2 linked regions of the Drosophila melanogaster genome follow. The protein of the gene in region 1 interacts with the protein of each later gene in a pairwise test. Each region holds a gene or a part of one and is shown in the gene's direction. Other genes may lie near its edges.

Region 1 (3,756 bases):
ACGCCCACCGCCATTAAAAAGGGCGAGAAGGAGGACAGCTTCTGGGACAAGTTCAGCACTTTGGGCCGCAAACGCGGCACCCGCGAAGGTAAGTCCACTTGATGATTGGAGCTCTCCAGATGGCTATTGTCGGCCAGGAATTGATGGGTATCCCAGAGTATTCCATTCTTGGACCCCTGAACCTCCGAAAAGTGGCCCAAAATGACCCAATGGATCCTCCCCCTGCGCACTGGAAGCTCTTCTGGGAACAGATGTGCGGATGCGCTGATTAATCAGAACATTGCGTCACTGTTGACCCACACAAGCAAACGGCGCTGATAATCGAGAGTGTGTGCGTTTGTGTGAGATGGCCTTGTGTCGTCACCGTTTTTGTTTACCTTGTTGATACCCTAAATACGCATCCGCTTGCTCCATTTGCAGTGAAGAAGGTCCAAGAGGAGGGCAAGTACGCCATCGACTCGCCTGGATCGCCCAGCCAGTATGACATCCCGCCGGAGGACTATGCCCTGCGTAAGTGCATTCGTTTTGAAGGGGCATCTCCTCGTATACCCATCGCATTTCCCACAACTCATCACATTTGATCCTACAGGCGAGCACGAACAGCGCGCCGTCATCGATCCACAGTCCATCAGTGATCCCCAGGTGATAAAGCTGCAGCGCATCCTCGTCGACTGGATCAACGACGAGCTGGCCGAGCAGCGCATAATTGTTCAGCACCTGGAAGAGGACATGTATGACGGCCAGGTGCTGCACAAGCTGTGGGAGAAGCTCACCGGCAAGAAGCTGGACGTTCCTGAGGTCACCCAGTCAGAGCAGGGCCAGCACGAGAAGCTCAACATCGTCCTGAAGGCCGTCAACCATGTAAGTAGTAGTAGTTTATGTTTTGCAGGATTTAAAAATCGGAGTTACCAACATTTAATTATTTATCCATTCTTAAAGTCGAATAGAATAATTTTTATTCGATTTACAATTAACATTCCCTTTTCTCGCGATATAAGAATAAATTTTATCCTTGCCCACACCCACAGACACTCGGCTTTCACCAAAAGATTCCCAAGTGGTCGGTGGCCAGCGTGCACTCGAAGAACATTGTGGCCATATTACATCTGCTGGTGGCACTGGTGCGTCACTTCCGGGCGCCCGTTCGCCTGCCAGAGAACGTGTTCGTGACCGTCGTGATTGCGGAGAAGAATGCGGGCGTGCTGAACGCGCAGAAGTTCCAGGAGCAGATAACGTCCGAGTACGACGACCTGGGCATGCGCTGCGAAAAGGACGCCTTCGACACGCTGATCGACTGTGCGCCGGACAAGCTGGCCGTGGTGAAGAAGTCCTTGATCACGTTCGTGAACAAGCACCTGGCCAAGCTGAACTTTGAGATCAGCGATCTGAACACGGACTTTCGCGACGGCGTATACCTGTGCCTGCTGATGGGCCTGCTCGGTGGATTCTTTGTGCCGCTGCACGAGTTCCATTTGACGCCGCAGGACGTGGATCAGATGGTCAGCAACGTGGCCTTCGCCTTCGACCTGATGCAGGACGTGGGCCTGCCCAAACCAAAGGCGCGGCCGGAGGACATCGTGAACATGGACCTCAAGTCCACCCTGCGCGTCCTATACAGCCTGTTCACCATGTTCAGGGACTTCGCCTGAGTGAAACCCGGATGGAACGAGCCAGCGGGTTGCAGGAGCAACAAGCGGCGCCAATTTTACATTTTATATTAACTTTTTGATAGTGTTTACACGCCTAATTTATGTGCGTTCTCGAAACTGATTGTAGGCGATGCAGCGGTTAAAGCTTACTGATCCTAACTCTCAAAACCACAACTAAATGCTGCGTCGCGTATAATCAGCCCAAGGAATGTTTATATATATATATATATATTTATGTGTCGTACGTCTAACCACTGCGATCTGCTCCAGATTCAGATTGCTCGGAACAGGAAGGAGCAGAGCAGAGCAGAGCTAACCCAAACCCAAAATCCGGCGGCCAGTTGTTAACTTGTCTTACTCACGTGCCAGACGTTGTAGTTGTTACTAAGTGAATTTATTGTATTAATACATTATTTGAACACAATAACCGAGATTGTGCCTTTAGATCACACAGAGCTTTTGCAAATTATGTCACAGATCAGATTTTAACGCTGTAAATGTAGAAGTTTACGGAAAAGTCTTAAAAAAAAATTTTATTGTGTACGTTAAAAATTTGGATCAGAAAAATCAATAAATATTGCCAATAGCATATGTGTTATTCTATTTTAAACAGTTCCAAGGCGCAAAATTTATCTGGGGCTGCAGCACTCACAAACGCCAGCTTCCATCCTATTCACATGTAAGTTCTTTCGAGCGTCTCGAATTGATTGAGAAACAAACCTTAGTAATTTTCTGAACGCTGTGCTATTTGAATTGTCGCGGTTGCGCGCGCAACTCGCAACGGTCTGGTATCGATCACAGCTGCGAGCAGGCTGCCAGATCGCTTCCCGTTCGGGAACGATTTCGCATCGATTTTCGATTGCTGGCCGGTATAATTTGAAAATGTTACTTTGCTGACCGGATTTTGGTCCTTGGCCAGATGTTGGCCATGAATCTAAAAGCCAGTATTTAGTAACTTGCGTTGATTGCAGCCGCTTAACTAAGCCGCTTAGCCAGATATGTCCTAATGTTATGTGTTTCGTTTCGAAACAAGGTGGCAACCATGCGCATGCTTTTTATGATTTTCACAATAGCCGAGCGAAGTTTCAAGATTCTAGAACTACCCACCACACCAACGCTTCTGCTGCGCCGCCAGTCCCACAACTACGGCTACGACTACATCAGCCCCACGCACATCGAACTCAGCCGGGAAGCAACTCGCCTGGTAATTCGCCGTCTGCAGCGCACCGTTCTCCGCCTGATCCGTGACCCGGACTTCATCATGTCTGCCGAGGCGAATCCCGAGATGGATAAGGAGCACCACGAGTCCCCATTCGCAGCGAACCGCAAGGCCGGTGCCAGCGGCGCCGGCAAACAGGACTCGAACTGCCGCACCTGCAACGATTTCAAGTCGTGGTCCAAGCAGCAACGCCTCATCTCCAACGTGCAGAGCGCCAAGGTGACGTGATCGCGTTGGCCACTTCGCCTTCGCAAGCAGGACGATAACACAAGAATCTCCCACTTTCATACTCCTCCAGGTGAAGCACATGGCCGCCGCCGAAAAGCTGACCGTCAACGCCGCCGAAGATCCGCTGCCCCGCGACGACTGCCCGCTGGACAAGGTGAGGCTGGGAATTTCCACCTGGGGACTGCTCCACACCATGGCCGCCTTTTACTCGGACAACCCCACGGACACCGAGAAGCGCGACATGAAGACCTTTTTTGAGGTTCTGTCGCGCCTTTACCCCTGCGAGTTTTGCGCCAAGGACTTTCGCACCGAGTAAGTGCATCTTCAATCCATTTGAAAACGCTGACACTTTAGCTGGACCTCTGTTGCAGCCTGGACGTCAACCCCATCAATGTGAACTCCCAAAAGGAGCTAGCACTGTGGCTGTGCAAGTTCCACAACCGAGTGAACGACAAACTGGGCAAACCGCTCTTCGATTGCACCAAGGTGAACGAGAGGTGGCGCGACGGCTGGCTAGACGGCTCCTGCGACTAGGCGCCGCAGCTAACCAGCGCCGAGAAGCCCCGTCTCCCGCCCGTTGCAGGTTGCCATGTTGACCAGACTTTGTCCCACATTTTGCTCGGCTGGCCCACAACTACAACCACGGAACACGGGACTCCT
Region 2 (3,756 bases), on another chromosome or scaffold:
TTACCGCGCAAAACAATTCGGCGATCAAGGTTTGAACTTATTCAGGTATTATCCTCCAATTAGCTTTTAAACTTGTATTCCTCAGATGATGGAGTTCTGGACCAACTCCCTGCAGCCCAAACATTTGGAGCCCAACGACTGCATCCTGTACGCGCAGCTCTTCCGCACCATCTACAGCTTCGATATATTCCTCGAAACCGAGGGATCCATGCAAAACACCATTGAGTACAACAAGGAGAAGCCTTACATAAGCGCCTTCGCCAAGCGGAGCCGCTCACGCCCCTACAAATACATCAAGAAGGGATCGGTCTACGCGTTCAAGCAGTGACAGTTGAATAACGAATGTTGTACAACACAATGCGCCAATGCGGTTACTAAACGTTCTCACAGTTGCGTTTATTACGATTAGTAATACAATAAATAAGTAACATTTAAAGCTAGCTAGCTACGACTTCATTGGCAGTTGATCTTCTGGGAAGAGGTCGCTGCCAAGGATCCGGGAGGTAGTGCCGTCGCAGAAGGGTTCTCAACCGCCTCCCGACTCTCGTCCGGCATCACTTTGTCCACGACGTGCTTGACGATCAGCCCATCGTCGCCCAGATAGCAGACAGAGTAGCCGTCGTACCAGGCCTCCTGATCCTTCAGCACCTCCTTCAGTTGCCAGAGCTTGTACTTCCAGAACTGGAACATGACCTTCAGGCCGGAAATGCCGCGCACTCGCCACCTTATCCGCACTGTGTAGTCGTCCTGGTGCTTCGTGATCTTGAGCACCTCGAATTTCACGTAGGCGTACTTCAGGTGGCCAACCGTTCGCAGGATGGCGATCTGTTTGACGTAGTGGTACAGGCCCACCGTGTGCTTGCCCGTTATGTTGTTGTGGAAGATTAGGCCCGGGCTGTAAATGGAGTAGTCTAGGGGCTCCACGAACAGCTTTGGTAGCGTGGTCCTCAGAACCTCGTAGGCTCTATCCAGGTCCTCGGGCTTACGCTCGTTCTCCTTAGGGTTCCCGGGCAGCCTCTCCGCTTTGGTGCTCTCGTAGGCCCTTCGACTTTGCTGGAGGTTATTGGCGGCATGGCTGTTTAACAACTTTTGTGGACACTTCGCCGGCGCAGACGCACTTAGCCGCATGGCGGACGCCCACGCCCGCTCCTTGGAGCACCAGTTGGCCATCCAGCTGCTCCTTCTTATTGATGAAATCCCGAAATTTCGCAACATCTTGCAAGGACTTTGTGTGCTACTTCCTTCACCGGAACTGGGTTTCCTCGATTCAGATCTGCCTCGTCTGCAGATCACACCATTCAAATTGAACTTAGATCCTGGCTATTTTTCGTTTGCGGCCCTCAGGAATTTGACGTGCTCGTGTTTAGGTAACAACATTTGGAAATAAAATACTCGGCAAAAATCATATGGTCGTTGGGCTGCAGTGTGGCCAGACTGTGTGTAATGTCCCAATAGCTGCGAGTGCCAGTGTGGATGTTAGGGGAACTCCCGTTGTCCAGGGTTGTCATGCCGGATTAGTTTCACAAATTAACTTCCGCAACCGGAAGTCATGAAAATGGAAAATATAACTTATTTGGTTTGAATTTAGTGTTTCAAGCTTATTACATGAAATATGTTGTCTCTTTTTTGAAGTGCAATAATCTCAAACACTTTTCATTTATGTAAGTACATGGTTTTGGAGTTGCCTTATGCGGTTTTCTTGGTTGTTCTTCTGATAAATGTTTGGTACCTCAACAAGCATCGAATCCAGGCACTCGCATCCGCATCGAATCCCACAGGAGGCGTTTGACGAGAAACTGTTGCACTTTACAGTACTAAATGGTTTTGTGCGCAGACTTGCTGCGCAGACCAATTTGTTACAAGCTCGAATCACACACAAATCTGGGGGCATACACATATATCTGTCTGCAGGTAAACACGTTGTTTACAGCCACCCAGCTATATAACACTAATTTGAGCTGAGGAGCTTTCGCTGGCTGAAAAATCGACTTTTATTTGAGCTTAAACCCATAGAGCCTCGTACTATGACGCGCTAATCGGTGACCGTATTATTGAGTGCCAAATTCTCGACTTAGTTGCAATGTCTACTCGACTCTGCTAGCCCTAGTATTGAGAAAAATCAATAGGAAGTAAATAAAAATGCTGCATGCCTGAAACTCGCTTTGCGGATACTCTTAAACTACGTATAATCAATTTTTCTATCGGTAACCGAGCTATCCAAAATGTACGGAATCACTCAATCAACTGTTAACGTAAGTACCCAACCGGCTGTCCGGGATAACTTTCCGTTCTAGTCCTCAGCGATTATTGATTGGCCTTGAAACCCAACCAACTGCCAATGTGGGCTCTCCTTCCCCTCTCCAGAATCAACGCTTTCGAGTTCGTGATATGGATAACGAGCAGATCATGTCCACTTTTGGGAACATAGGTCACCTGCTGAACATTGCCGTGGAGCGATTTATAACCATTGGCGAGATCATCGCCGAGGAGAATATTGACATCAAGGGAGACATGTACGAGGCGGCGAAGGAGGCCAGAGATGCGGGTAAGAAGACATCCTTTCCAGCCTGGTACATCCTTTTCATTGTATTTTGTTGTACGATAGGAAAATCGATTGAACGACTTTGTGATATTTCACCTCTAAGCGGCATGGAGCTGCGCCACCACATCGAGCCCCTTAAGGACTATGGAGCCATCATTTTGGCGGCCCGCTCCCTGCTGTCGTCCGTCACGCGCATCCTACTGCTGGTCGACATCATAGTTGTGAAGAAGCTGCTGACCGCCAAGAAGCGGGCCTCCGAGAGCCTGGAGAAGCTGGAGTCGGTCATGAACTTCACGGAATTCGTGCGCGCCTTCTCCGTGTTCGGAACCGAGATGATTGAGCTGGCCTACCTCACGGGCCACCACCGCAACTCCTTCAAGGAGGAGCGACGGCGGGCGCAGATGTTCTCGGCCCGCCAGATACTGGAGAAGTCCATCGCCATCCTGTTGACGTCCTCGAAGAACAGCCTGATCCACAGCGACTGCGTGATCGTGAAGGAGAACCGGGACACTGTGTTCTGCCAGATCCGCAGGGCCATGGACCTCATCCATTTCGTGGTGAAGGACAGCATCTTCGACACGGCCAAGCACATGCCGTTCGAGAAGCAGGCGAGCAACCCGAACTACGAGAACGAGAGCATCTACACGACAATAAAGCGCATTGTGAACCTCATCAAGCGGTACAAGTACCAGATGAGCTACTACGAGGGCTCTGGCGAGGGCAACAACAACTCCGACGCCTACTTCAGTTTCCTGGACGATGACCTGTGGAAGTCGGAGAAGAACCTGCCCTCCGCGGCGGGCGGCGGCCGCATGGTGAACAACACGAACTTCAGGAAGCACCTCAGCTCCGAGAGCCTGGACCTGCGCGAGGAGCTCTCGCTCGCCTTCGAGAAGCTGTTCGAGAAGGCACACGACTTCACCGACTCCCCCTACATCAGCCACAACCATCGGAAGAACATCCTCTCCTACTGCGACAACTGCAAGCTGGAGTTCGACCTCTACCTGAACACCATCATGAAGGATCAGCACGAGGGTGGCGGTGGAGCCGGTGGAGTTGGAGGAGTGGGCGGAGGCCAGGTGAAGGGTCGGTCAGATCCCGAACTGGGTATGCTGAGCAGCCTGGAGGAGCTGTGCAAGCAGTTGGTCGTCTCCGTGTCCAGCCAGATCGAGGATTTCAACGAGTCGCTCAAGATCTGCTCCAAGCTGGTCAAG

Evidence for each region.
Region 2: the proteins of Alr (region 1) and alpha-Catr interact in a two-hybrid assay, tested with the Drosophila melanogaster proteins (one large-scale study listed by BioGRID).

The regions. Positions count from the first base shown.
Region 1 is NC_004354.4:19,746,222-19,749,977, forward strand, and holds the start of Alr (augmenter of liver regeneration), read left to right. Parts: upstream 1-2,092; 5' UTR 2,093-2,328; intron 2,329-2,682; 5' UTR 2,683-2,691; coding exon 2,692-3,087; intron 3,088-3,166; coding exon 3,167-3,408; intron 3,409-3,467; coding exon 3,468-3,630; 3' UTR 3,631-3,756. Other genes in the region: parvin, read left to right, coding at 1-88, 421-510, 590-861, 1,029-1,649.
Region 2 is NT_033778.4:23,955,968-23,959,723, forward strand, and holds the start of alpha-Catr (alpha-catenin related), read left to right. Parts: upstream 1-1,874; 5' UTR 1,875-2,222; coding exon 2,223-2,252; intron 2,253-2,364; coding exon 2,365-2,545; intron 2,546-2,605; coding exon 2,606-3,756. Other genes in the region: thoc5, read left to right, coding at 1-29, 86-328; CG16787 (uncharacterized protein), read right to left, coding at 454-1,215.